Saccharomyces cerevisiae S288C: one gene and its partners. Changing the gene in region 2 together with the main gene of any one other region gives a genetic interaction. Each region holds a gene or a part of one and is shown on either strand. Other genes may lie near its edges.

Region 1 (9,882 bases), on a different chromosome or scaffold from region 2:
AAGTTCATCCGTCTGCTCGGAATGAGAGTTTGTGTGAGTCAAATATTGATAATTAGGTGCGGTGTGAAAACTAAAGTACATGTCAATTTTCTTGTTATAATCACCGCCAGAGTAATCGTACTCAAAATCATAGTCTTCATAATCATCATCGTCTTCACTGTCAGTAGAAGATAGAGTGTCAGCATCTGGATCTTCGTCACTAGAGTAAAAATCACAGTAATCTTCACTTTCTATCGTCTTTTCTGCATTTTCCTCCTTACCGACGTCATTTTTACTAGCATTAGCATTGGACAATTCGATATGTTCGATGGACAAGTTTTCAGGTCCTTTACTGAAAGGGTCTCCGGCAAGGGCGTTGGTTGCAGCATTATGAGTTTCCACATTTTCTGTAATCTTATCCAGCAAGTTTGCGTGCCCGACTAAAACTCTCAGGTTGTAGTCTTTGTTTTTAGTAGTCACGCTAACGCATTTTGCCAGCTTGGAGCGTACTTTGCTGGCCAAAATATATTGATCTTGAATCGATGGGGTTGTAGAGTTCATTATAATCGCAGTATGCGGAATTTTCTATGTGAGAAAAACAATAAATAATTGTGAAAAAACTTGGATGTATAGTGTAATACTATAAAAAATTTCTGCTGGTATGTAGCTGTCTTTTTATTTTTTCTTTGGTCATACAGGGCTGTAAGCAGAGAAAGTCGAACAAAGACGTAACACCAGAGAAAGAAACTTGAATGCTTTTGTTAGATATATATATATATATTTATACATATGCCTCTCGCTAGAGGATATATCGCCGCGGAGCGCAGCGAACTACATCCGAAAACATCACAAATAATGCATGGGCAACCGGATACATTGCATTTAGTTTTGCCTTTTTTTCCAATTGTCACAGCTTCCTCGAAGTTTCTGACCCGGTAAAACGTGCGAAATGCCTCTTCTAATGCCGAAACAAGGGAAACCCTTAAAGCTTCCGTGCAAGCTGACCATGCCGGTCCGCACTTCGGGTCTTGTCCGTCGCCCGTGATCCAATAGGATACAACTACAAATCTGGGGTAAAGTCCGACTTTCGGCCCGCCGTGCGTTACTGCATGTTACATCACTATGGTGGGGACGGAAAATCACAGATGAGTCAGCTTCGTGATTTCCTGTTTCGGTGATGCTTGCAGTATACTTCAAATACTTCGCTTTACTTGGCAACCTTTTTTTTTGCCTCTCTAGCATTTCACCCATACCCACCAGGGGGAAAAAGAAAAGAGAGATTTTAAAACCAGATATTCTTTTTCACGATTTACATAACCCGGACTGGGTAGGGTAACATGTATATGAACTTTAACTGTGACCCGGACAGCACGCTTTCTGCACCAATGAAATGCCAATAAATTAACAGTGTTTTTTGTCCTCCAGAAGTTCAAGGGCCCGCGCTGTCAGCTGCACCAAATAAAAACCAAACAAGAAAATTAAAGGCCTACAGCGCTCCCTAACCGATATTCCCCTACTCTCTTTCCCCGTCTTATTCGAGGAAAACAGCGTATAATAAAGCAATAGCTTTCACAGAAAAAATATTATATCATCCCTGTTCGTATAGGTAACGAATCCTAATATTAAATTGCTACCATTGCTGATCAAGACAATTGTGGAGTAATAATACGAGAAGAACATCATCGTCACCATATCACTGAGAAAGAAAACACAAGATATATAAACAAAAAAAATGCTAAGAACAGTAACTTCAAAGACTGTATCTAACCAGTTCAAGAGGTCTTTGGCTACAGCTGTAGCAACCCCCAAGGCCGAAGTAACGCAATTATCTAACGGTATAGTTGTAGCCACTGAGCATAATCCTTCCGCTCACACAGCCTCTGTCGGTGTTGTCTTCGGCTCCGGTGCTGCCAACGAAAACCCTTATAACAACGGGGTTTCCAATTTATGGAAGAACATCTTTCTATCCAAAGAAAACTCTGCTGTTGCCGCCAAGGAAGGTTTGGCATTGTCTTCCAATATCTCCAGAGACTTCCAATCTTACATTGTATCTTCTTTGCCAGGTTCTACCGATAAATCACTAGACTTCTTGAATCAGTCTTTCATCCAACAAAAGGCTAATTTGCTATCTTCTTCTAACTTCGAGGCCACGAAGAAATCTGTCTTGAAGCAAGTTCAAGATTTTGAAGAAAACGACCATCCCAACAGAGTTTTGGAACATTTACACTCCACCGCCTTCCAAAACACTCCATTATCTTTGCCTACTAGAGGTACTTTGGAGTCCTTGGAGAATTTAGTTGTTGCTGATCTGGAATCTTTTGCCAATAACCATTTCTTGAATTCAAATGCTGTTGTTGTTGGTACCGGTAATATCAAACATGAGGATTTAGTAAATTCCATCGAATCCAAAAACCTAAGTTTGCAAACCGGTACCAAGCCCGTACTCAAGAAAAAGGCCGCTTTCTTGGGTTCCGAAGTTAGATTGAGAGACGACACCTTGCCAAAGGCGTGGATTTCGCTGGCTGTGGAAGGTGAACCTGTCAATTCACCAAATTATTTTGTTGCTAAATTAGCCGCCCAAATTTTCGGCTCATACAACGCCTTCGAACCCGCTTCTAGATTACAAGGTATCAAATTGTTAGACAACATACAGGAGTACCAATTATGCGACAATTTCAATCATTTCTCTCTTTCTTACAAAGATTCCGGTTTATGGGGGTTCTCTACGGCCACGAGAAACGTTACCATGATTGACGACCTCATCCATTTCACTTTGAAACAATGGAACAGATTGACCATTTCTGTCACTGATACTGAAGTTGAACGTGCCAAATCGCTGTTGAAATTACAATTAGGGCAGTTATACGAATCTGGTAATCCCGTCAATGACGCTAACTTGTTAGGCGCAGAAGTCCTAATCAAGGGCTCCAAACTGTCTCTGGGTGAGGCTTTCAAGAAAATTGATGCAATCACAGTCAAAGATGTTAAGGCTTGGGCCGGTAAGAGATTATGGGACCAAGATATTGCTATTGCTGGTACAGGCCAAATTGAAGGGTTATTAGATTACATGAGAATCAGAAGTGACATGTCCATGATGAGATGGTAAGATGTGTGATAATATATTTTCCATGCACATAAAATAGAAATAAGCAAGCTGCTAGATGTATACAGGCACGCTCGCACACTCACACCATAAATGAATTTTTTACATGTATTTTATATTCTAGTAACCCAAGTAGTCTTCATTATTTATTGGCAAGGTCACTGTTCCTTGCAAAAGTAGAAAATAAAAAAAGAAAAAAAAAGAAACTCGTAAGAAAACAAGATTAAATAAACGTCTTATTTTATATAAGTGTATATATATATATATATATATATGTGACCAAGATCCTGAAGAACTATCGATTTTAAAAATAAGAAAGATGAACTTTTTTTTGGTAAAACATATTTAATGATATTATGCAAATGGGAAGTTGTTGGTAGAGAAGTCATCTCTCGATCATCTGGACTTCTTGCCTAATGGACTGCTAATATTCTCACGGTAGGTAATACCAGCAATCGCAACCATCTTATCCTCTTGTGAAGAGCTCATCGATGGACTCACTAATTCGTCACCTGGTAACAGTCCTTCACTTCTACCCTCATGGTTTTCATGAGCATCCTCTTTCTCCTCCTCCTGGCTCGATGAGATCTCATTACTGCCGTCCATGGCATTGAGGAGCGAAGACGATGGCGACTCTATTATGGAGAACCTGCCCGTTGCGGTATGTTTATATTTCTTTGGCGTCGTGAGATCCATGTTTGTGAATGATGGTGATTCGTCATATTCAAAGTTATCTAAATCTGTGGGCTTCCTCTTCCTTGGAGTTTCATTTTTCTTGTCAAAATTTTGCACCTTGGTACTTTCGCCCGCCTGCCTATCTTCGTCATCATCTTCATCGTCATCTGTGCTGCCCATGTGATCATCATCCTCATCATCTTCATCTGCACCATCTTCACGATAATCGTCGTCGTTGTCATCGTCATCTTCATCATCGCTATTATTCTTCGTAACATCGCTCTGACAATTTTGTCCTTTATTATCGCTATTATCATCGTTTATCCCGCAATCATCCTCATAGTATTCTTCCACCATGAAATTTTCATCTTTCAGCAAAACATTACGCTTACTCTTATTCCCCATCTCCCTATCTTCATCACCATCAAAAAATCCTTCCTCTTCATCCTCGTCATCGTAGCCTAGGTTGACACTCATTATAGAGTCGATTTCTCTAATAAAGGGTGCCAACTCCCTAGTATTGTTTTCGGTCATCCACGGTATCTTCATTAGTGAGACATCTTCTTGATTCTTGATGAAGTTAATATCTTTCTCCTTATCGTCCTCTTGCTTCTCACCGTGTGTTTTATCAAAAACCTGCCAACTGCTAGTTACCATGCAACATTTTTCTAGCGCATTTACAAACTTCTCCAATTCATTGATCTTGTAATATTTGAAAGGATCATAACACAATTCGCATATCCGAAGTATTGTGAATGGAAATGTATGATTTTGTAAAAAATTATCATTCAGAAACTTACCCAGCCAATTTAATCTAGTAACGAGATTTCTCGCATCGTTCATTTCATTCTTAAGGTTTATAAATAGGTCAAACGGTATTGTTTCAGTGATATGCCGGATTAAATCAGGCAAAACTTGCTCGGGACCCGCCGTCACCAATCGCGTCTTGTCGCCCTGTTTCACCACATCGCTAAGTAATTCATAAAGGCTGATAGACTTGATACCCATCATATTATTATCCACATCATCCAACATCGTCGAGCTCATAGCTTTTTATTGTGCTTTGACAATCGATGAGAACACCAACAAAAAATGATAATAGGTATTGTTAGCTGTGTCAAAATACATGCTTTTGATCGCGAAATGAAAAACTACACAATCATTACCCGTCGGCGCTTCGGAGGGGGATTAGATTTCTCCTATAATCAAAATCTTCAACTATTACAAACCCCTTTTCAGAAGCACATTGAAAACAACACACAACAGAGCACTTTGTGATAGGCAATAGAGTGCTTTTAAATAGAGAATTACTGGTTCTCGCGAAATAATATAGCGCGTTGAAACTAATAAATAGATTCGTGAAGCTCTAGATCTATCTTTTTTCCTGTTTTTATCTGTGTGTTTTCAATAGGATTCGAACGATATAGGCCATGGCATCTATTACTTTTAGAACTCCATTATCCTCTCAGGAACAAGCCTTTTATAATCAGAAATTTCACCAATTGGATACGGAAGATCTCGGGGTGGTCACTGGCGAGGCAGTCAGACCGCTCTTCGCGTCTTCTGGTCTTCCAGGGCAATTACTATCGCAAGTGTGGGCTACCGTCGATATAGACAATAAAGGGTTTTTGAACTTGAACGAGTTTTCGGCTGCTTTGAGAATGATCGCTCAATTGCAAAATGCTCCCAACCAACCAATTTCCGCTGCCCTATATGAGAGCACACCTACTCAACTGGCTTCTTTTTCTATAAATCAGAACCCAGCCCCTATGCAAAGCGGTAGTGCAACCGGCAATACAAACAACACTGATATTCCTGCCTTATCCTCAAATGATATTGCTAAATTTTCACAACTGTTTGATAGGACAGCAAAGGGTGCTCAAACTGTTGCTGGTGATAAAGCCAAGGATATATTTTTAAAGGCAAGATTACCAAATCAAACTTTAGGTGAAATTTGGGCTCTTTGTGATAGAGACGCATCCGGTGTCTTAGACAAATCTGAGTTTATAATGGCCATGTATTTGATCCAACTATGTATGTCTCATCATCCTAGTATGAACACACCACCGGCCGTGTTGCCTACTCAGCTGTGGGATTCTATTCGTTTAGAACCTGTTGTTGTTAATCAACCAAACAGGACTACTCCTTTGAGTGCTAACTCCACTGGCGTATCTTCACTAACAAGACACTCTACTATATCACGTCTATCTACTGGTGCATTCAGTAATGCTGCTTCAGATTGGTCTTTAAGTTTTGAAAAAAAACAACAGTTTGATGCAATTTTTGATTCATTAGATAAGCAACATGCTGGTTCGCTAAGCTCTGCTGTGTTGGTTCCATTCTTCTTATCCTCTAGATTAAACCAAGAGACGTTAGCCACCATCTGGGACTTAGCTGACATCCACAACAATGCTGAATTCACCAAATTGGAATTTGCTATTGCCATGTTCTTAATTCAAAAAAAGAATGCTGGTGTCGAATTACCGGATGTTATCCCCAATGAATTATTACAGTCCCCCGCTTTAGGACTTTATCCGCCAAACCCACTTCCTCAACAACAAAGTGCACCTCAAATTGCCATCCCCTCAAGAGCAAGTAAGCCTTCTTTACAGGATATGCCACACCAAGTTTCTGCCCCAGCAGTTAATACTCAACCAACAGTTCCACAAGTTCTTCCTCAAAACTCAAATAACGGTTCTTTGAATGATTTACTGGCTTTGAACCCTTCATTCAGCTCTCCTTCTCCCACTAAAGCACAAACTGTGGTTCAAAACAACACAAATAATAGTTTTTCATATGATAATAACAATGGCCAAGCAACATTACAACAACAACAGCCACAGCAGCCTCCACCTTTAACTCACTCCTCCTCTGGATTGAAGAAATTTACTCCCACCTCAAACTTCGGTCAAAGTATAATCAAGGAAGAACCAGAGGAACAAGAGCAACTAAGGGAATCCAGTGATACTTTTAGCGCTCAGCCTCCGCCAGTTCCAAAACATGCTTCAAGTCCAGTCAAACGTACAGCTTCAACAACACTGCCACAAGTTCCCAACTTTTCTGTGTTTAGCATGCCAGCAGGCGCTGCCACTAGCGCTGCCACTGGTGCTGCTGTAGGCGCCGCAGTGGGTGCTGCTGCTTTAGGCGCATCCGCTTTTTCAAGATCTTCCAATAATGCATTCAAGAACCAGGATTTATTTGCAGATGGTGAAGCTTCTGCTCAGTTATCTAATGCTACCACAGAAATGGCTAATTTATCTAACCAAGTAAACTCCCTGTCCAAGCAGGCAAGTATAACTAATGACAAAAAGTCAAGAGCGACCCAGGAGTTGAAACGTGTTACTGAGATGAAAAATTCCATTCAAATCAAATTGAACAATTTACGTTCTACCCATGACCAAAATGTTAAACAAACGGAACAACTGGAAGCACAAGTACTTCAAGTAAACAAAGAAAACGAAACATTAGCGCAACAGTTGGCTGTATCCGAAGCAAACTACCATGCCGCTGAGTCCAAACTCAATGAACTAACTACTGATTTGCAAGAATCTCAAACAAAGAACGCAGAATTAAAAGAACAAATTACGAATTTGAACTCGATGACAGCCTCCTTACAGTCACAATTAAATGAAAAACAACAACAGGTCAAGCAAGAAAGGTCAATGGTAGATGTTAATTCAAAACAGCTAGAGTTGAATCAAGTCACAGTAGCAAACTTGCAGAAGGAAATCGATGGTCTTGGCGAAAAGATAAGCGTTTACTTAACTAAACAAAAGGAGTTAAATGACTACCAAAAGACCGTGGAGGAGCAACACGCACAATTACAAGCTAAATACCAGGATCTGTCCAACAAGGATACTGATTTAACGGACCGTGAAAAACAATTGGAAGAACGTAACAGACAAATTGAAGAACAAGAAAATCTCTACCATCAGCACGTTTCTAAATTGCAAGAAATGTTCGACGATCTATCACAGAGAAAAGCTTCTTTTGAAAAAGCTGATCAAGAGTTAAAGGAGAGAAACATCGAATACGCTAACAATGTGAGAGAGTTATCCGAAAGACAAATGAATTTAGCTATGGGACAATTACCTGAGGATGCTAAGGACATTATTGCGAAAAGCGCCTCTAATACAGATACAACAACCAAAGAAGCCACATCAAGAGGAAATGTTCACGAAGACACTGTATCCAAATTTGTCGAAACTACTGTTGAGAATTCAAACTTGAATGTTAATCGGGTTAAAGACGATGAAGAAAAGACAGAAAGAACCGAAAGTGACGTATTTGATAGAGACGTTCCAACTTTGGGATCTCAAAGCGATAGTGAAAATGCCAATACAAACAACGGCACCCAGTCAGGAAATGAGACAGCAAATCCAAACTTAACTGAAACATTAAGTGATAGGTTTGATGGTGATTTGAATGAATATGGTATTCCAAGAAGTCAATCCTTGACATCGTCTGTTGCAAACAATGCTCCTCAATCCGTAAGAGATGATGTTGAGCTACCGGAAACGTTGGAAGAACGTGACACCATCAATAATACTGCGAATAGAGATAATACTGGAAACTTATCTCACATTCCTGGTGAATGGGAAGCTACCCCAGCTACCGCTTCTACTGATGTTTTGAGCAACGAAACTACAGAAGTTATTGAAGACGGAAGTACCACAAAAAGGGCTAATTCAAATGAAGACGGTGAGTCGGTCAGTTCTATCCAAGAATCTCCAAAAATCTCTGCTCAACCAAAAGCAAAGACAATAAATGAAGAGTTTCCACCAATTCAGGAATTGCATATTGACGAAAGCGATTCATCCTCTTCAGACGATGATGAGTTTGAAGATACCAGAGAAATTCCATCAGCAACAGTGAAGACCCTTCAAACTCCCTATAATGCCCAGCCCACATCAAGTTTGGAAATCCACACGGAACAAGTCATAAAATATCCCGCTCCAGGCACTTCTCCTTCACATAATGAAGGTAACTCAAAAAAGGCAAGCACCAATTCCATTTTGCCTGTTAAGGACGAATTTGATGATGAATTCGCAGGGTTAGAACAAGCGGCTGTGGAGGAAGATAATGGTGCTGATTCGGAATCTGAATTTGAGAATGTTGCGAATGCTGGGTCGATGGAGCAATTTGAAACCATAGACCATAAGGATCTCGATGACGAACTACAAATGAACGCTTTTACAGGGACGTTAACTAGTTCCTCTAACCCAACTATCCCAAAACCACAAGTACAACAACAGTCAACCAGTGACCCTGCTCAAGTAAGCAACGATGAGTGGGACGAGATTTTTGCTGGATTTGGTAACTCCAAAGCTGAACCAACCAAAGTAGCTACCCCAAGCATTCCACAACAACCAATTCCATTGAAGAATGATCCTATCGTTGATGCTAGCTTGTCAAAAGGTCCAATAGTTAACCGCGGGGTTGCAACTACTCCAAAGTCTCTAGCCGTCGAGGAGTTAAGTGGCATGGGATTTACTGAAGAAGAAGCGCACAATGCCTTGGAAAAGTGCAACTGGGATCTAGAAGCCGCCACTAACTTTTTGTTGGATAGTGCTTAGTCTGTAATGGACCATTTCGTCTTCTTTTTGTACTTCTTCCTCGAAGCTGAATCATATTTACCCTTTTCCAGGATCGTCCTTGTATATTGTGAATTATTCTAAAAGTAGAATATGTTGTACTTTAAAATTGTTATAGTTATCATCATCTATTTTTCCATTTTATAAAATTTTTACGTTAGACAGTTATGTATTGAAACTGCTTCATAAGTTTTGAAAATCATCCCAGTTTGGTAAATACACTAACCAAAAAAAAAAAAAGCTCTACCACATAATCTTTGGGCGTATTACAACATGGGAAACACGACATTATTGAAAATACAAAAAAAGTAAAGTAAGACTCGTTCAGGGCATAAGTCAATGGCCCTGTAAGAAAAAACAAAGTAGCTAGGCTCATAAGAGATTATCTGTTTAATTTTCTTTGAATAAAAAAAAGTATAAATCGATAAGATAAAATACCACAATGAAAAAATAAAGGCTACTTGAAAACAACTGGACCAAACCAAAACCCAATTAACCCAGACCAGTAATGAAACACGAATAGAAATATAC
Region 2 (4,210 bases):
CTCCATACCGTACCTCAGTATGGCAGCATTGTGGTAACCTTGACCATGCCTAGCTAAAATCAACAGCTTATAGTGGCGATTTTTGGTATTTCTAGGGATAGCATGATACAGTTCCTTCCAATTCTTATGGTTAATCAATTCTAAGTGATCATATTTCGTGGAGTCTAATCCTTGAAAACCCTCACTTGGATATGCAGCAAAATATCCTGGGACTGCTCTGAGTGACATTGTTGAATAACTGTTGGTGATTTCACGCAGCAGAGTCTTGGAAAGAAATCGTTAAATAACATACAAATCTCTCGAGGGTTTTTTTTTGCAAATGACACTTTTTACTTTTTCCAGTACTAGCTAGCACCCGAAAAATTAACTTGACTCGCACATGCCTGCTGGGTCATATCCGAATCTGCAAGAAATTAGGATTACAAATATTTATTCAAACGTTGCACAACCACGCAATAGAAGATAATATCTGTAAATTTTAATCGCTTTCATCTGAAAACACTGAGCCTCTTCTTAATTTTCACGGACTTTTTCGCAGCCCAGGTTTGACCGGCTAAGTACGAACCTCTTTTGTTTGGAATAAGAGTTTGGTATTAATCAATTGTTGGTACAAAAGATTAATAGTATTACTTGTGTTTTCAGAATATAATTGTCCGTGAGCGTCCTAACTGTCATCGAGTTTATAGGAAGCTAATTAGTAAGGACTGACCATGCAAACCCAGCAATGAATGAAAGGATATAAACGAGGGAAGAAATGGTAGCAGTATTAAGTAAAATTGTCCATTTCCCCTCGTGAAATTATCCAAAACGCGGCAGAAGAACTTTTAAGTTATCTACTGTACATAGTGTTATTGTCCTCACGTGAATTGAATTGAAACTTTTTCAGAACATTATCGCTGAACTATAAATGAAATTTTGTAATGATTGTTCTGATCCCATCTTACTAAAAGCATTATTGTGAAGTATAAAATACAATAAATTTCTTCTCAAAAAAACTTGCCGTACATGATATGGAGAAATAGGTGAATTTAGGGATAGTAGTTATTATAATGAGCCTATTATAGAGAATCTATTATCGATTTCTAACGGTCGTATCAATCTGTTGTATTACGGGCTCGAGTAATACCGGAGTGTCTTGACAATCCTAATATAAACAGTCTTAGGGAAGTAACCAGTTGTCAAAACAGTTTATCAGATTAATTCACGGAATGTTACTTATCTTATATATTATATAAAATATGAATCATACTAAGTGGTGGAAGCGCGGAATCTCGGATCTAAACTAATTGTTCAGGCATTTATACTTTGGGTAGTTCAGCTAGGGAAGGTCGGGTTTTGTCTCATGTTGTTCGTTTTGTTATAAGGTTGTTTCATATGTGTTTTATGAACGTTCAGGGTGACGTATTGTCATACTGACATATCTCATTTTGAGATACAACACAATCACGTTTAAAAGCCTTGTTGGCGCAATCGGTAGCGCGTATGACTCTTAATCATAAGGTTAGGGGTTCGAGCCCCCTACAGGGCTTTCTTTTTAAAACAGGATGCTAAAGCCGACACCGTTCAAACACAAGTGGCAGCTTTTCTCGAGAACAGCAATGCCCACAGTTTTATTTACAATTTTACACTATTGACGTGGAGATTTTTTTATCCCGCATATGACCTAGTAGAGGATCTCTGTCTTCCCCTGATAAATGTCAAATGTATGACGTTACCACAATTGTATCACGGTGGTTTCAGTCTGTCATGAGGAATAAGGGCATTCAGTACCGACAATGCTATACTTGTAAATAGAAAAATGATGTTCTAAAATCGGCATTCTCGCTATTTGAGATTTTGTCTTTTTTTACCTGGTATTTCGCGTTTATATTACGGATGCAAGAAAAGGAGAAGGGCGCATCACATCGATTTTGGTCTACCTATAAACATTCTCTCTCTCATCCACTTTCGGTTCAATAGTGCAAAAATAGGTAACTAACAACTCAATTGAATAGTAAATGTCACTTCTAATAGATTCTGTACCAACAGTTGCTTATAAGGACCAAAAACCGGGTACTTCAGGTTTACGTAAGAAGACCAAGGTTTTCATGGATGAGCCTCATTATACTGAGAACTTCATTCAAGCAACAATGCAATCTATCCCTAATGGCTCAGAGGGAACCACTTTAGTTGTTGGAGGAGATGGTCGTTTCTACAACGATGTTATCATGAACAAGATTGCCGCAGTAGGTGCTGCAAACGGTGTCAGAAAGTTAGTCATTGGTCAAGGCGGTTTACTTTCAACACCAGCTGCTTCTCATATAATTAGAACATACGAGGAAAAGTGTACCGGTGGTGGTATCATATTAACTGCCTCACACAACCCAGGCGGTCCAGAGAATGATTTAGGTATCAAGTATAATTTACCTAATGGTGGGCCAGCTCCAGAGAGTGTCACTAACGCTATCTGGGAAGCGTCTAAAAAATTAACTCACTATAAAATTATAAAGAACTTCCCCAAGTTGAATTTGAACAAGCTTGGTAAAAACCAAAAATATGGCCCATTGTTAGTGGACATAATTGATCCTGCCAAAGCATACGTTCAATTTCTGAAGGAAATTTTTGATTTTGACTTAATTAAAAGCTTCTTAGCGAAACAGCGCAAAGACAAAGGGTGGAAGTTGTTGTTTGACTCCTTAAATGGTATTACAGGACCATATGGTAAGGCTATATTTGTTGATGAATTTGGTTTACCGGCAGAGGAAGTTCTTCAAAATTGGCACCCTTTACCTGATTTCGGCGGTTTACATCCCGATCCGAATCTAACCTATGCACGAACTCTTGTTGACAGGGTTGACCGCGAAAAAATTGCCTTTGGAGCAGCCTCCGATGGTGATGGTGATAGGAATATGATTTACGGTTATGGCCCTGCTTTCGTTTCGCCAGGTGATTCTGTTGCCATTATTGCCGAATATGCACCCGAAATTCCATACTTCGCCAAACAAGGTATTTATGGCTTGGCACGTTCATTTCCTACATCCTCAGCCATTGATCGTGTTGCAGCAAAAAAGGGATTAAGATGTTACGAAGTTCCAACCGGCTGGAAATTCTTCTGTGCCTTATTTGATGCTAAAAAGCTATCAATCTGTGGTGAAGAATCCTTCGGTACAGGTTCCAATCATATCAGAGAAAAGGACGGTCTATGGGCCATTATTGCTTGGTTAAATATCTTGGCTATCTACCATAGGCGTAACCCTGAAAAGGAAGCTTCGATCAAAACTATTCAGGACGAATTTTGGAACGAGTATGGCCGTACTTTCTTCACAAGATACGATTACGAACATATCGAATGCGAGCAGGCCGAAAAAGTTGTAGCTCTTTTGAGTGAATTTGTATCAAGGCCAAACGTTTGTGGCTCCCACTTCCCAGCTGATGAGTCTTTAACCGTTATCGATTGTGGTGATTTTTCGTATAGAGATCTAGATGGCTCCATCTCTGAAAATCAAGGCCTTTTCGTAAAGTTTTCGAATGGGACTAAATTTGTTTTGAGGTTATCCGGCACAGGCAGTTCTGGTGCAACAATAAGATTATACGTAGAAAAGTATACTGATAAAAAGGAGAACTATGGCCAAACAGCTGACGTCTTCTTGAAACCCGTCATCAACTCCATTGTAAAATTCTTAAGATTTAAAGAAATTTTAGGAACAGACGAACCAACAGTCCGCACATAGAATTATTGGTCTTGAACAAGCACTAATTTTCCAAAGATGTTTTAACTGATCTTAATTTATATGTAGAGGATATATGTAGTATATCTATTTTTTGCTGATTGACTTATCAATTAGCTTCATAATACAACATTGTTTTTGTTTTTCGTTACTCGCGACTTTCTTCGCGGCAGAGCCGCGCTACAGGAAAACAAGATCAAAACATGCCCCTATTGGAAGGCTTAAAAAATGCTTATCCCGAACGAGCCAACGGTAATCAACACTATCGTCATACCAACAACAGTTGAGTTATTTTTCGCTCCCATACTTTTTAGAATTGGTTTGTTTGTGTTTGGTTAAATTTCAAAGCCTTTATATTCTTTGATATAGATTACTCTACAATTTCTTTGTATACAGCGGGAAATTGACACTTCAAAGTTCCTCTCATATCAACAAACATTAATACAGTTCCTGAAAATGTATTCTTGGAAGTCAAAGTTTAAGTTTGGAAAATCTAAAGAAGA
Region 3 (9,391 bases), on a different chromosome or scaffold from region 2:
AATAGTGAACCGTGTGGTTTACACATCAGTTGTAGATGTACTGTGGCACCAGGTTCGGGTTTTTGATTTAACCTGGTTACATCAAAGTCGTCCTCATACAGAACAGGCTTGACCCTTTTAGGGCCAATAATACTTCCACAAAGCGGGCATTCTTTATATTTCTTCTTCTTTGAGTACCCAGTCTCTTTATTTTTGACGGTTTCTTCAATGGAGAAAAAGTTCAAGAGACAACTTAGACAGAAAATATGGCCACAAGTAACCATTCTGGGAGCCACCGGTTCCTCGCTCAGACAAATAGAACAATTCTGACCCTTTGGCACTATGACTCTTAGAATCTTTTCTTGATCGACAGGAACGTTCGGGTTACAGTTTTGCTCTGGGTAGTCAAAACGATCATCTACCAAAAGACGGTAATTAACATTAACAAATGTGTCACCGTGTAAATGTACGTGCTCATCGCGTCTCCTATTCGATTTCTTACTTGAAGAGGACCTACTTTTTTCCCTTTCGACTTCAGGTAACTGGAAATTCAACAAATGATTAATGGAAACTTGAGTTTTCCTGCCTCGTAATTTGAAATTACCACCAAGAATTTCTTCCTGGATAGATAAATCTATATCTTGATCATTGATCCTAGTACTAGTCTCCTTATAGGGCGTTCTTGACCTCTGTTGTTTGCTACTTTTTCTGCGGCCTTCCCCGTGATAATTATGTGCATTATCTCTTCCATCAGAGACCTTATTCCCTGGTTTCTTTTTACTGACCGGATTCCTTTTATTATTTGAAACTCCTTGTTTACTACTGTTGCTGGTAGCATTTAAAGTATCCATCTCGGAACCGCCACTGCCACCACTTGCCTTCTTCTGCATGTCCGGTTCTACCATCAAAAGTGTTAAGATTAGTAACAGATTCTACTACTATATCTTTATTTTATCAGTGCACCGTGGTCCACATCCAACGGTGTTTACGATATAGCTTACCCCTCTACACGTGGCTTCTCAGAAGTGTTTATTATAATGTTTGCTTCATCACCTTTTTTTACACGGGCCTGAACGAGCACTTTTCAAAATACAATTAATGCCCAAAAATATGAGCAACGGTAATGAGGGCGTGCATAATTGCAAAGAATGTATAAGCAAACACCAAGGCTGTCTACTCGGATTCATCTATAAATATTCTATTTACTATGTATAGCTTTCTACTCGTCCGGGAGGCAGCAATCTATGCGAGAGAAGCTTCTTACAATGCGTTGTAGCGAATAAGGTACGCACATCAAAAGATGAGCAAAACTACAATAAAAGGGTTCATTTAGCTGTCCCCTCTGACCCAGCTCACAATAACGGACTATCTTGGCAGCTAGAGTAGTAATGTCTATTACAGGGGCAAAGAACTGGCGAGGAGGCTTGAATCCTGCAAACATTTCCGTATTCAGTTGCCCTGGGGTCACTAATAGTGTTCTGATATTTCTTACGCCTTCGTTTTGCAATTCAAAACTGTACGACTGATGAAAGGCTATCAATGCTGCTTTGCTCGCCGCATAAGCTGCTACTTTGGCCGGCGTCAATATGCCCAAAATGCTTGCGATATTGACAATATAACACTGTCTAGTTGAGTGTCTACTAGGGGCCAGTTCTTGAATGAACTGAAGTGGTGCAAATGTGTTTATCTTAAAAATCTTATCAAGATTATCCCGTTCCATGCCGTTGAATCCGGTGAAGTTGGCCCTTACTCCAGCATTGTTCACAATCAATCGGATTTCATTTTTATACTTTCTTTTCAACAAATTCAGTAGTGCTGCAACTTCTTCATCATCACTCAGGTCGCAGATGAGATCCTTCACGCGAGTATTCCTCACTGATGATGGGCATATGTCGACATTCAAGATGGTCAGGTTGCTGTAGTCTTGTAGGAGTTGAGATACTATGGCCCGTCCAAGTCCTTTACTTCCTCCAGTAATAAGAACTATGCCATTCTTAAATTCACGAAGGCTCTTCCAGGCGACCTGTCCCGACCGCTTTATATAGGAATTAGCAATGAGGAATGCATTTATCAGTAGTGTATAGATTGTTAGACAAATGCTTATCGAGTCGCTTAGAGACCTAGGTTAGTTCGTCATGTTAGTATAAAAAACGCTGTTTCTAACCTCATGCCTATTTTCTACTTTACATACCATCTCAATACAAGAGCTACCAGAAGTGGATAGCGCAGCAGTGGCAGAACTACCCAACGACACAAACAGTCTATATTCATCACCAGAACTTCACCTTTTCCTCACAGCCGTATTATCACATATTAATGTATCTGTTCTACTGATTTTAAAGAGCTACTTGTTATACGGCTAAATGCACTTCCGAGGGTAACCTGTTATTCAGGATTATATGAACAGAGAGAATAATGATGTGAGTTACTGCAAATAGCATAATTACTGGACTATATTCTTGTTGGCTTATATTATTACAACGATATTTACCATTAAAAGTGTCTATATCTTATATTATTGATGATCTGCCATTGCTACAGGATTGCACGCGACTAATAATTGTCTATTAAGTATATTTGGATGACTTAACACAAGAATTGTTTTCTCTCTCCTTTCTGAACTAGCCAGCTTTATCTTCTTTCCTTTTATGATCTGGACGGGAACCAATTCGCCTAGGTTCTGCTCAACATTTTTTAAGTCGTAAATCTGTATCAAATTGTCGCCAACGAGAATCAAATGATTACCATGGAAGCTCGCGCCGGTACAACAAAAATCAAGTAAGAGAATATCCTTTCTCCAATCAGACATCTCACCGTAGCAGTTTATTTTCACTACGGCTTCATCATAAACCAAGGCAAAAAAACTAGATTGTGATATTTGAAAAAAATTGACCGGTATAGCTTTGCAAGTGGCGATATCCTTTTTTGCTTCTTCAGTGAGAGATTCTATGGAGGGGCGTTTCTTGGAGTCTGTAGCACTTTTGAACGGTAAGCTATTCAAATGTGGATGCCTCAAGTGTGCCATCATATCTTTATCATTCAAAAAAGATGGTAAGACTATTCCGTTATCCTCGAATGAATCTTGATAAAGTATGACTGTTTTCTTTGTACACACAGCAAAACTTTTCCTGAATATGGCAATATCCTCAATTTCGTTATTCAGAATGTTATTACTTGAACTTGGGAGCTTATACTCTTTGTAAAATTTGAAATATTTTACTTGGTTTGTCAATTGATCAAATTCTGGTGTTAATATAACTATCTTCCCCTTTCTTTCAAAAAATAAATGTTTTGAGTTACCAAAATCATCAGCAATTTTGAAGAATCTCACCTTATCTCTGATTACTGTTCCCACAATGCAGTTTTCATCTAGAGTGTTTCCTTGCGCTAGGTAACGGCTCACTACCGTTGAGATATTAAAATAGCACAACTTTCTGTTATCCAATACAAACAAGAGCCCCAACTTAACATTGGCTTCCATTCTTTTGACGTCGTTTAATTCTAATATTTTAACGAAACCACTACCATAATCGTCTCTATATTTCACATAGATACCGTCTGTTGTAGCCACAAATAGGTAAATTCTGCCCTCGAATTTAACATCTTCACAACAAAGAATCCGTGTTGTCTTACTCCATGAACATGAATCTTTGTTTGCTTTTTGAGCGTAAGCTTTGAGTGCTACATCAATTTCTGATCCTTCCGGAGCTACAGGTAGATTCACCGGTGCATCCTTGTCGAAGTATGCGAACTCAGAGCTCAACACTGTAAATTCAAAGGCATTTAAATCATGATTTTCTGCATTTCTTTTAAAAGATTCCATGATAGCATCAATCCATTGGTTGAGTACTTCTGCACTTTCTGTAAAAAATTTGAACGATTCACCTGTGGCTGTATTTCTGATCTTAAATGAGAACTCGTCTGTGTTTGGATTCGCGTTAGAAATTTCAGTATTACTAGTCTTTCTATCTCCATACGCTGTTGACATGTGATTTCCAGAACTTTTAAGCAGAGGTCTCATGGAGTTAATCGGTGTCGAAAAATTATGCATTGGGGATTTATGTTCTTTCTGAGAGTAGTTTCTCAGAGGCTGTTTACTTGTTCCTGGAATTTTCCTTTTCTCGAGACTTAAATAATCTATTGGGATAGGTCTTTCAATAAGCTTATATTTTTGAGTTTCTCCTTTACTTATTTCCTCTGTAATCAGTAAGCAATTGTCCAATAATGCGATATACACTGGGGTTGGGTCCAGCCATAAATCCCTCTTTTTATAAACAGTGCCAGATAGTACTAACTTCCTTTCCGGATAAGTTAAACCAAGAGCTAGTTTATCCTGAATTGCATCATCGTCATTTGCGTTAGTACTACCACCGACGTTCACATAGCTTGTTGCATTACTACTATTAGTACTTAATACTAATTGTTTCGAAAACCTTACTAGTTTCCTATGGTCAATTGCTAATCCATGTACCTGATTAACTTCAAAGTTCAACTTTTCTACTTCCTTAATTACTATTTTCAGGTATTCATAATCCTCCATGGAAGGATCCGTGTTCTTCAAAATTGAGCGCAGAGTTACGGGCATGTTTTGTAAAGATTTGAAAAACCCCCCAAAGAATATAACATCATGATACATCTTCGATCTTGTAATTTCAACCGAGTTATCAATCTCCTTAAGCCATGTTACAAATTTCGTCTTGTTTTTCTTCTCCCACATTATGATTTCGTGTACCGTTGCCATAGCTTTCGCGTAATTCAAATATATATTCTTGGCTTCACCACACCATTTTGAATAGATTTTTCCAACGCCATCAATAAACTTACCTCTCGTTTTTAATTTCCAAAATATTGGCGTCAAAAGAAATTCGGTATGTAATTGTATTAGAGGTTCGAAGATATCAAATGCCAATGCCTTGAACTCAGGCTCATCTGGAAGTAGGGATTTGTCAAACCGTTTCCCATAGATTTCTACCGCGGCAGTAGCCATGTTTAAGGATCTTTCTTCTAAAATAATTAAGTCAAATATAAAGCTTTGTCTTTGTACTTCACGGGGATTAATTTCTGCTAAATCATCTGGAGTCAAGTGCCAGTATTCTGTCCAAAGTCCAACTGATTTATTTATGATTTCGGAAAGTTTTATTTCTTTTCTGAAGCCAGAGCTTTGGCCATGTGTGCAAACGTTGGAATAACAAATCAGGGAGTTTGTAGATCCATAAGTATTATCGATGAATGAATAGCACGGTAGTAGTTCGGTGAAAACACCAGTAATATCCAGCCCTCCCACAACTACGGCTACCTCTTCATCGTTAATGATATCGAATCTTACTGCTTTCTGGGAAATAAACGAAGCCATAATATTATCCACATTTGAGTCTATCGTATCTTGATCGAAATTTGTAGGCATTTGAAACTCTAAAAGTAATTGAACAATTTGGAAAAGATCGATTTTCGTGAAGACACATTCATTAAACCATTCAAAATAAACTTTCAAAATCCACTCATAAATAGCAGAAAGTTTGTAAACATTATCACATTGATAAAGCTTGTGCTCATCGATAGATTGAATTGAAAATGGTTGTGTCGGTGCAGTAATGCTTGGTGCTAATTCTAATGGCTTGGCTCCTAGTAAAGAGTTAAAACTACTTTGCCTGGCATTTGAGTTATTAAAAGTATAATCTGAGTCAGAATAAACACTTTCTAGGGCTTCTGATACTCGGCTATTCCCACTTACGTTTCTAGATGTTGATAGAGGCGGTGGTGGTTTCGTAAAAAATTCTGAGTCTTCATCATCAAAAGGAGATAGCAGAAGAGTAGTAGTGAAAGGAATTGGGGGTAAAGCTTTTTCTCTTTCATGACACCGTAGATCTGATTCATCAGAGAAGTGAGCCTGCTGTTTGCTACTATCTCTTGGAGATTTAGGGGAATTTGGACTAAATCCGTTCGCAAATGGTGATTTTAAGATCCTGGAATGGTTAGATATGTATTCCATGTGATGTCGTTCCTCTGAGTTTCCTATAAAGGATAGTTTATTAGGTGATCTTTCCCGGGACTGAGAACTGGGAGATACCATGGGTGAGTCTATCCGTATTGATTCAGTGGAATACAAAAGGGGTGGCGGTGGTGGTGGTCGTCTTTCTTTGACGTACTTTGTCGATTTGGGTGTGGATTCTGAAGAGCTAGTACCGTTTCCCCTTGCACTATGTTTTGATGTAAAGGTAAAAGCCTGAGGGACCGGGCTTTGGAATTGCTGGGTGTCACTGATTGGTGTCCAGCCAATTGAGATATTATCTGTTCCGTTATCAGAATCATCCAAAAAGGAGTTCCTCGTATTCAATGGTGGCAGTTTGGGCAATTCGATGCTCTTTCGTTGGCTTTCTTGACGGCTTACTCGTTTTTCTGGTGTTCGTTCAAAAGGGGAACTTCTATTATATCGATACATGTTAACTTGCTGCACTCAATAAGTTTTTTGTTTTAATGTTTATATTCGAAGTAGTATCAATTAATTGTTCATAACAGTGGCTGGAGGGGGTATACAGAACCACTAAAACCTCCAGAAATAATAGTTGAATAAAATATTGATGCAAGAAATGGATTTTGAACAGTTATATTGCGTACTGATCATCCTCTCTAGGGGTTGTTTACCTAAACGATGTGTTAACGTTTTCTCTAAATGATTTATATTGCGGCCTATGCGACGAGTCAGTATGAACAATAGAAAATCTTAAGAAGCCGTAAGCTAAAAACATCAAATGATTATAGCGCACCAACTGCTCGACTGGAAGCAGCGAAATTACGTATGTATGACCGAAGCTCAGTTAATTTTCTCTTAAGTAAAGACACAACCTTTAAATGTTGACTAACTGTGTTTGAGTAGGGGAAAAGTCCCCAAAAGTTGACGCATTTCCTTTGCATGACTGGTTTTGGAAAAGATTTCGACCTAACTCCCCAAAAAATTACTGTGAACACCTATCTGTGTAAATTTACGGTTGTTTTAGTCAAAATAGCTGTTATAACGTTTATCATAGTCCACTAAAACAGTATTTGGACACCGAACAAACTGTTTTCGATTAGGAGATTAATCGCATCTATTAAATAGCTTGATGTTTTTATTATACAATCTTCAACATTAGTTGTGATATGGAAGTTTAAAATACTGGCTAGAGACACTCGTTAGGGTTAAGGTAAATCGATAGCGGTAGTACATTATGGCATACATACCAAGATCGGGTAAAGCCGTTCCATAGTTAGATGCCTACTACTAAATGACGGTCTGAAATGGGAATTATATACGATAAATATCACAAATTGAGGAGATGGAATATAAGGATTAGCTGCTAATTATATGACAGGTTTATTGCGACGTTACTATATTACAACAGATGGCGGTTTTAGGGTAGTACCGCTTGCTTAATCGAATCAGATCAAATCAGAAGAAAAAGCAGGATCAGGCTTGAAGTACACGCTCAATGAACAAAAGCGAAAATAACCTTTTGTTTAGAGGTGCTTGTCATATCGAAATACTATATTAACTTTAAAATATTCCGCGCTACGTTGGGTGAATTAGAACTGACCAGGAGCATTTCCCTAATAAACTAAATTAGCGTGGCCACACTTTCAATCTTCGTGTGAACCTGTTGGAATAAAAATCAACTATCATCTACTAACTAGTATTTACGTTACTAGTATATTATCATATACGGTGTTAGAAGATGACGCAAATGATGAGAAATAGTCATCTAAATTAGTGGAAGCTGAAACGCAAGGATTGATAATGTAATAGGATCAATGAATATTAACATATAAAACGATGATAATAATATTTATAGAATTGTGTAGAATTGCAGATTCCCTTTTATGGATTCCTAAATCCTTGAGGAGAACTTCTAGTATATCTACATACCTAATATTATAGCCTTAATCACAATGGAATCCCAACAATTACATCAAAATCCACATTCTCTACATGGTAGCGCCTATGCTTCGGTTACTTCTAAGGAAGTCCCATCAAATCAAGATCCGTTAGCCGTTTCAGCTTCCAATTTACCGGAATTTGATAGAGATTCCACTAAGGTTAATTCTCAAGAAGAGACAACACCTGGGACATCAGCTGTTCCAGAGAACCATCATCATGTCTCTCCTCAACCTGCTTCAGTACCACCTCCACAGAATGGACAGTACCAACAGCACGGCATGATGACCCCAAACAAAGCTATGGCTTCTAACTGGGCACATTACCAACAACCATCTATGATGACGTGTTCACATTATCAAACGTCACCTGCGTATTATCAACCGGACCCACACTATCCGCTGCCACAGTATATCCCACCGCTGAGTACTTCCTCACCTGATCCAATCGATTCACAGGATCAACACTCTGAAGTACCTCAAGCTAAGACAAAGGTGAGAAATAATGTCTTACCACCACACACTTTAACATCAGAAGAAAACTTTTCTACATGGGTTAAATTTTACATCAGATTTTTGAAGAACTCTAATCTCGGTGACATTATTCCAAATGACCAGGGTGAAATCAAAAGACAAATGACTTATGAAGAACATGCGTATATATACAATACCTTCCAAGCATTTGCCCCATTTCATTTATTGCCAACATGGGTAAAACAAATTTTAGAAATTAATTATTCTGACATCCTTACTGTCCTTTGTAAAAGTGTGTCCAAAATGCAAACTAACAATCAAGAATTAAAAGATTGGATAGCTCTTGCCAACCTTGAGTACAACGGAAGTACATCTGCTGATACATTTGAAATTACAGTCAGCACGATCATTCAAAGGCTAAAAGAAAACAATATCAATGTTAGCGACAGATTGGCCTGTCAACTAATACTTAAAGGTCTATCCGGTGATTTCAAATACCTACGTAATCAATATCGTACCAAAACGAACATGAAACTTTCCCAATTATTCGCTGAAATTCAATTAATATATGACGAAAATAAAATCATGAATCTAAATAAACCGTCCCAATACAAACAACACAGCGAATACAAAAATGTTTCTCGCACATCTCCAAACACGACTAACACGAAGGTTACAACTCGTAATTATCATAGAACAAATAGTTCAAAACCAAGAGCAGCAAAAGCTCACAATATTGCTACATCCAGTAAATTCTCAAGGGTGAACAATGATCACATTAATGAATCAACCGTTTCATCACAATACTTAAGCGATGACAACGAACTTAGTCTTAGGCCAGCAACAGAAAGAATCTAAGCCAACACGCACAATAGACTCGAATGACGAACTACCTGATCACCTTCTTATTGATTCAGGAGCTTCGCAAACGCTTGTCAGATCAGCCCATTATTTACACCATGCAACACCCAATTCTGAAATAAACATAGTCGATGCTCAAAAACAAGACATTCCTATAAATGCCATTGGT
Region 4 (7,592 bases), on a different chromosome or scaffold from region 2:
CAGGGGACAAAGACATCTTGCTCCATACCTTCATGGTAACCTCTACGGGAGCTGCCCTGTTCTAGAGCCCAACAATATATTAATGCTTGTCCGCCCTGACGTAGCTTCGATAGAACGTGCCTGATCACCTCAACACGTCTCTCCCTTGTAGACCAGTGATGCACTACAGCAATTGAGATGGCGAAGTCAAATGTTTCGTTTTTGTGTGGTAAGTTCAGCCCGTCTGCCACCAGTAAGTTGTACGATGGGTTTATTCCTCTGGCGCACTCAATAAGACCATCTGAGCGATCTGAACCGATAATATATATATCAGGGTTCACTCCGAGGTACTTTCCATTGCCACACCCGACGTCGATACCGATGGAACCCATTGGGCGAGTCTTCAAGAACTGAGTCACTATGGGCCATGGCTTATATCTAGTTTGCGAGAAATGCGGAGCTATCTCATTATACACTTTGTGAACATACTCCTGTTCTTTTTCAGCCGCTTGGTTTATCTCCATGTTGGTTCTTAACCTTTTATTTCTTGGCTCTTCGAGACCTCATCTCTGTTCAGTTCATTACCGAATTTTTTCTCTTATTCCCATTTCTTCGACTGAAAAGTTGAAAGAAATTGAAAAATCAAGAAGAGGTATATAGAGATAATTATCCATATAAATGAAGAGCACAAAGTAAGTTTGAGCTTCAACAGCGCAACGATGACCGAACCTCAAGGTCCTTTGGACACCATCCCGAAAGTGAACTATCCGCCAATACTGACAATAGCAAACTATTTTTCCACAAAACAAATGATTGACCAAGTCATCAGTGAGGACCAGGACTACGTTACGTGGAAATTGCAAAACCTGCGAACGGGTGGTACATCAATCAACAACCAATTAAATAAATATCCAAAATACAAATACCAGAAAACCAGGATAAATCAGCAAGACCCGGACTCTATCAACAAAGTCCCAGAAAACCTGATCTTTCCACAAGACATTTTACAACAGCAAACACAAAATAGCAATTACGAAGACACCAATACCAACGAAGATGAAAATGAAAAACTTGCGCAGGACGAACAATTCAAGCTCTTGGTAACCAACTTGGATAAAGATCAAACTAATCGGTTTGAAGTTTTCCATAGAACATCCCTAAACAAAACCCAGGTCAAAAAACTGGCTAGCACAGTAGCTAATCAAACTATAAGTGAAAATATTCGTGTTTTTCTGCAAGCGGTGGGAAAAATATACGCTGGTGAGATAATCGAATTGGCCATGATTGTGAAGAATAAGTGGTTGACAAGTCAAATGTGCATAGAGTTTGATAAGAGGACCAAAATAGGCTATAAATTGAAAAAATATCTAAAAAAATTGACTTTCTCCATCATAGAAAACCAGCAATACAAGCAAGATTATCAATCCGATAGCGTTCCCGAAGACGAACCTGATTTCTACTTCGACGATGAAGAAGTAGACAAGCGCGAAACTACGCTGGGCAACTCGTTGCTACAGTCCAAATCCTTACAGCAATCAGACCATAATTCACAGGACTTGAAGCTACAACTCATCGAGCAGTACAATAAGCTCGTCCTCCAATTCAACAAACTAGATGTAAGCATCGAGAAATATAACAACAGTCCCTTATTGCCCGAACACATCCGTGAGGCGTGGAGACTCTACCGTCTGCAGTCGGACACTTTGCCTAACGCTTACTGGAGAACTCAAGGAGAAGGGCAGGGATCCATGTTCAGATAGCTGCCCATAATTGTCCAACGGCTCCAACATATATCAATCTATATATAAACATATATATAATTTTTAACATGTCGTTTGAAATGACATGTCTATTTTTAAAAGGATAGCATATAAATTAATGAAAAAAAAAAAAAGAAAACGATTACTGCAGATCTTCTAATTCTGTTAATCAGCTTTCTCTTGTGAACCATTGGCAGGTGGGTAACATAAAAGCACAATACAATAGCTTCCATTATTAGTTTTGTTTGTTTTGGCAATACATGTTAAATCTTTTTCTTTCAAGTTAAATATAAAGATTATATATAAAAGTACTTCTTTGGAATACATTTGATTATACTTTTCTTTATCGTTTTATTTTTATTTCATCGTTATAGTCGCTTCTTTTCCCCTAGAGGCTTTGTCATAAAACAACAAATCAACCACTCTCTGCTTATCTTTCCTTCCTTTTCAAAATGGGTAATTCAAGTTCAAAATCTTCGAAAAAGGATTCACATTCGAATTCCTCCTCGAGAAATCCTCGTCCTCAAGTGTCGAGAACCGAGACTTCCCATTCTGTGAAGTCTGCAAAATCAAATAAATCTTCAAGATCAAGGCGATCTCTTCCTTCTTCGTCCACTACGAATACTAATTCAAACGTCCCTGATCCCTCCACTCCATCAAAGCCCAATCTTGAGGTTAATCACCAACGACATAGCTCTCACACGAATCGTTACCATTTCCCATCTAGCTCACACTCGCATTCAAATTCTCAAAACGAATTGTTAACTACTCCTTCATCATCCTCTACTAAGAGGCCTTCTACTTCTAGAAGATCAAGTTATAATACTAAGGCTGCTGCTGATTTACCACCTTCAATGATCCAAATGGAACCCAAGTCACCCATTTTAAAAACAAACAATAGTAGCACACACGTATCCAAGCATAAATCTTCATACTCATCTACCTATTATGAGAACGCCTTAACCGATGATGACAATGATGATAAAGACAACGACATCTCGCACACTAAAAGGTTTTCTAGATCTTCGAATTCTCGTCCGTCCAGTATAAGAAGCGGATCAGTGTCAAGAAGGAAATCAGATGTGACCCATGAAGAGCCTAACAATGGATCATACTCCTCTAACAATCAGGAGAATTATCTCGTTCAGGCATTAACCCGGTCAAATTCTCATGCATCTTCGCTACACAGTAGGAAATCTTCGTTTGGATCAGATGGTAATACCGCATACAGCACCCCATTAAACTCTCCAGGCTTGTCCAAGCTAACAGATCACTCTGGTGAATACTTTACCTCTAATTCAACCTCCTCATTGAATCACCATTCAAGTCGCGATATTTACCCGAGCAAACACATCAGCAATGATGATGACATTGAAAATTCATCTCAATTGAGTAATATCCATGCATCAATGGAAAATGTTAATGATAAAAATAATAATATAACAGATAGCAAAAAAGATCCGAATGAGGAATTTAATGATATAATGCAATCTTCCGGAAACAAAAACGCTCCAAAAAAATTCAAAAAGCCTATCGATATTGATGAAACTATCCAAAAATTACTGGATGCGGGCTACGCTGCTAAGAGAACAAAAAATGTTTGTTTGAAGAACAATGAAATTTTACAGATTTGCATCAAGGCTCGTGAAATCTTTCTTTCTCAACCTTCCTTATTAGAATTATCACCTCCTGTAAAAATTGTAGGCGACGTTCATGGCCAATATGGGGATCTCTTAAGGCTTTTTACCAAATGTGGGTTCCCACCATCCTCGAACTATTTATTCCTAGGTGATTATGTGGACCGTGGTAAACAGTCACTGGAGACTATTTTACTATTGTTTTGTTACAAAATAAAATACCCTGAAAATTTCTTTTTATTGAGAGGCAACCATGAATGTGCTAACGTCACAAGGGTTTATGGATTTTATGATGAATGTAAACGTCGTTGTAACATCAAGATCTGGAAGACATTCATCGATACTTTTAATACATTACCATTAGCTGCTATCGTAGCCGGAAAGATTTTTTGTGTTCATGGTGGATTGTCGCCAGTTTTAAATTCTATGGATGAAATCAGACATGTAGTTAGGCCTACTGATGTACCAGATTTTGGCTTAATTAATGATCTTTTGTGGTCCGATCCCACAGATTCACCCAACGAATGGGAGGATAACGAACGTGGTGTAAGTTACTGTTATAATAAGGTGGCAATTAACAAATTCTTGAACAAGTTTGGGTTTGATTTGGTTTGTAGAGCTCACATGGTTGTGGAAGACGGTTATGAATTTTTCAATGATAGAAGTCTCGTTACGGTGTTTTCCGCGCCAAATTATTGTGGTGAATTTGATAATTGGGGGGCTGTAATGAGCGTCAGCGAAGGTTTATTGTGCTCTTTTGAATTGTTAGATCCACTAGATAGTGCAGCTTTGAAGCAAGTTATGAAGAAAGGTAGACAGGAAAGAAAACTGGCTAATCAACAACAGCAAATGATGGAAACAAGCATCACAAATGATAACGAATCTCAACAGTAAATTTACTGACTAAAAAATCCAGAAGTATTATATTCATTATTTCATGAACAACTCAACGATGTACATATGCACATATATATATATATATATATATATATATATATGAAAGACAGGAAATAGAAGTTCCCTATCTTTTTCTTAATGACATTAAAAAACTTCCTTTCATCGCCTACTGCCTTCGCGTGTGTATTGAATGCTCATTCGCTCTATACAATCTAGAACTCTCCGAAATTTCGTTCTACTTTGCTTTCGCTATATTAAGCTGTTTATATAAATTACGTAATGGTATATAGTCATATAGCTAAATTCAATGGTTCGTTTCTATAGATTGGTTCTCCTTAATTTTAATTTTTTATTGCGTATAACGTGAGAGATTATTTTCAACCCCCCCAATACTTACGAAACTTCATAAAACTTCTTTAAGAAATAAGGGCCTATAAAAATTGTGAACTAATCAAGAGAAAATATATAATCAAAATTGATTAATCAGAAAGACGAATTTTTTTTAAAAAAAAAATTCAAAACAACTGAAGGGGAAATGGACAAAAAGCAGCATAAGTAGTAAAAAGTGGAAACAAAATAAGGTCAAAAAAATCTGAGAGGAAAAGGAACGCTATATTACATTACTCAGAACTGCGTAACCGACTAGAACAAAAAAAGGAAATAGAGGAAAAAAAAAAAAAAAAAAAAAAAAGAGAAAAGAAAATTAATGGGTCAGTACATGACTCATAAAGGCATGTCTGTTGTTCTGTTATTGTAGTTGGAGTAGTTACCGCTGCTTCCACGTCCACCACGACTACCTCGATTGTTATATGCGCCTCTGCCAAATCCCCTTCCTCTGCCAAATCCTCTTCCTCTCGAACCTCCATTCATACCGCTGCTGTTATAGTTACCGCGTCCATTGTTCCTTATAGAATCATTATTACCTTGGCCAAGGAACCCACTTGCTGGTTTGAAAATGGAATATTGTTGTGTATTGGATGTTGAGTTCGTGAAATCATTCTTTTTATTTCCTGAGGCATCTAAAGATGAATCCGAGGTTAACCCTTCTTCATTGTTTTGTCGATCATGATATCTTGAACCGTTATTATTATTACTACTACTATTATTATTATTATTATTATTATCATTAGTGTTGTTGTTGTTGTTGTTGTATGAGCTGCCACCACGATATCCGCCGCGATTACCACGATTGTTATGCCCACCTTTATAACTGCTGCCATTGGGGCCTCCACGATATCTATTACTCCCTCTAAAATTGCCATTATTGTTATTATGGTTTCCGTTATATTTGGTTCTGCTCATACTATGTTCCCTTTCCACATTCTTGAAAGTGAACTGTTTATCAACATCGGTTTCTGAACCTTTATCTTTATCATTTGAGACATCTAATTGAGCTTTATCGTCGCCACCTTTCTCAAAGCCTTGTTCATCGCCACCTTTGAACTCGTCCGATTTATCGGGCTTAGATTGTAGTTCAAGAGCTGGTGAGTCAAGCTTGCTTAATGGAGTTCCTTTCTTGGAAGTTTCATTGACCACAGATCTCTCAACTACTTCAGAGTAACTTAAAGGTTTGGGAGTTGGGGTTGCAGAATGTGATTCCTCCTCTGTAGGTGTCTGCTTTTTCAAGATTGTGATCTTGCTGCCTGTTGCAGTGGTTGCCATAGAATCACTACTAGGGATTAATGATGCCCTCAGGGTTGTTGTATCTTCCACGTGTAAATTTTCCATTTTTTCTTCAATGTCCAAAATCTTCGATTGCGTATCAACCGGTTTAGCACTTCCAAAAGGATTGGATTTTGACCGCTGAGTCTTAGTAATGAATGGTTTGCCAGCATCGTCTTTAGGGTCTGTTAATAATTTCACCTTCGTGCTGTAATCCTTAAAATCTTCGAATTCTGCGGGCGCTGTTGTAATGTGGTAAATTTCCTTCAAAGGAGTGGTCCAATAGTTCAAAATTTTGTCCATATCACGGGATGTATATAACTCGACAAATGCTACCTTCGAGTCACGTTTGAAATTTTGATCAAAGATTGACCCCGATTTCAAAGTAGAAATACTTGGATTTTTATTTATCTCCCAAAACAGTTTGAACTTAATAAACTTGGTAAACTTTGCTTGAAAAAGATCTTCAATGTCAAAGTTGGAAAATCTCGGTGGTAAATCAGAAAACTTCACAATATAAGGAGGACCTTGCTGATGCTGCAGCGGGTGGTGATGATTTGCAAAGTCCCCCATGCTACCACCACCAAAAGGCCCTGCATTAGAAAAACGTGATCTGTTCATGGGTCCATGACCACCGTGTGGGTGCTGTTGGTGACCATCACGTTGATGTTCGCCTGCCTTGGTTTGTTTCAAGATGTCAATATTCGTAGTATTGCTTATAGCATCCAAATTAATATCTTCCTCATCCCATACTGACTCGCCTAAAGTGTCGTTCCCTAGAAATTCTTCTAGGGACATTTTCTTCGTAGTGCCATTATTATTAGATGTATTATTTGTTCCTGAATAGAAACATATGTAGACAATTCCGTGACTTTCTCTTCTTTGCGGAAAACCAAGCTGATTAGAGAAAGCAAAAACATTGCAAGACCATGTCTAATCAGCTTGATTTTTAGAGAAACGATAAAAAAGAAGAAAAGAGGCCAAGAGAGAGCATTGTTCAATTGTTAGTGGCTATTTAAACTTGATCTATTTTCTTAAAAATCCACATGAATATTATATCCTCTTTCATGCAATAATTCCTACGTATGACTGAAACAGAAGAAAATAGTAAACATAAAATACTAAAACAAAAAAAAAAAAGGAAACAAAAGAGGACCGTTATGGATCAAAAGGGGTTAATGAGAAAAACCGAGGCACATACCCATTTCTTCCCGTTCCAGCACTCTATGTGATTAAGATCGAGTGAGCAAACGTGTTTTTCTAGGATGATTTCTTGACCAATTCTTTGTGGAGATAAGCTTTAAAGTCTGAAGAACGTATCTCTGTAGTTCTTCTGTCTCATTTAAAATAACCCAAAATTTCCGAAATTTCAGTGCAGCTCAACCCTAAATTAGACCTAATTGAAATCAGTAGGGTTAGCTCGTATTTGAAATATTACAAAACAAGTCCTATAAAACTCTAATCTTAACCCTTATGTTAGATTTTCAGCACGTGATTTTGCATCTTTTTTAGTTTTGCTTAAAAAATTTTGACCTCTACCTTTTCTCTCTCTGTTTAATCAGGTAATAAAAAGTTCAGCCAAAAAGTGTGGTTGTGAAATTTTATTCTGGCGATGCGCAATCGGAGTCTTTTCTATTTCTTGCAACTCGCAGAAGAA

Evidence for each region.
Region 1: mutations in PGM1 (region 2) and EDE1 together harm fitness more than expected from each alone (negative genetic interaction), as found in Saccharomyces cerevisiae (2 studies listed by BioGRID).
Region 3: mutations in PGM1 (region 2) and TUS1 together harm fitness more than expected from each alone (negative genetic interaction), as found in Saccharomyces cerevisiae (2 studies listed by BioGRID).
Region 4: mutations in PGM1 (region 2) and PPZ1 together harm fitness more than expected from each alone (negative genetic interaction), as found in Saccharomyces cerevisiae (2 studies listed by BioGRID).

Annotation. Positions count from the first base shown.
Region 1 is NC_001134.8:127,346-137,227, reverse strand, and holds EDE1 (Ede1p), read left to right. Parts: upstream 1-5,187; coding exon 5,188-9,333; downstream 9,334-9,882. Other genes in the region: ECM13 (Ecm13p), read right to left, coding at 1-540; YBL044W (uncharacterized protein), read right to left, coding at 862-1,230; ubiquinol--cytochrome-c reductase subunit COR1, read left to right, coding at 1,712-3,085; PSY4 (Psy4p), read right to left, coding at 3,479-4,804; RRT1 (Rrt1p), read right to left, coding at 9,618-9,882. UniProt on the Saccharomyces cerevisiae protein: Functions at the internalization step of the clathrin-mediated endocytosis (CME) as an early-acting scaffold protein. Requires clathrin adapter proteins, ENT1/2 and YAP1801/2, for normal spatiotemporal dynamics and viability.
Region 2 is NC_001143.9:201,544-205,753, forward strand, and holds PGM1 (phosphoglucomutase PGM1), read left to right. Parts: upstream 1-1,997; coding exon 1,998-3,710; downstream 3,711-4,210. Other genes in the region: PMU1 (putative phosphomutase), read right to left, coding at 1-228; serine/threonine protein kinase YPK1, read left to right, coding at 4,164-4,210. UniProt on the Saccharomyces cerevisiae protein: Minor phosphoglucomutase isozyme that catalyzes the reversible interconversion of alpha-D-glucose 1-phosphate and alpha-D-glucose 6-phosphate. The mechanism proceeds via the intermediate compound alpha-D-glucose 1,6-bisphosphate.
Region 3 is NC_001144.5:979,921-989,311, reverse strand, and holds TUS1 (Rho family guanine nucleotide exchange factor TUS1), read right to left. Parts: upstream 6,419-9,391; coding exon 2,495-6,418; downstream 1-2,494. Other genes in the region: RING-type E3 ubiquitin transferase MAG2, read right to left, coding at 1-884; TDA5 (Tda5p), read right to left, coding at 1,199-2,099, 2,171-2,250. UniProt on the Saccharomyces cerevisiae protein: Guanine nucleotide-exchange factor (GEF) for RHO1 that stimulates the exchange of RHO1 GDP-bound form into GTP-bound form. Required for signaling of cell wall defects to RHO1.
Region 4 is NC_001145.3:236,136-243,727, reverse strand, and holds PPZ1 (salt homeostasis regulator), read left to right. Parts: upstream 1-2,191; coding exon 2,192-4,270; downstream 4,271-7,592. Other genes in the region: TRM9 (tRNA (carboxymethyluridine(34)-5-O)-methyltransferase), read right to left, coding at 1-503; TATA-binding protein-associated factor TAF11, read left to right, coding at 699-1,739; PSP2 (Psp2p), read right to left, coding at 4,997-6,774, 7,137-7,140. UniProt on the Saccharomyces cerevisiae protein: Essential for the maintenance of cell size and integrity in response to osmotic stress.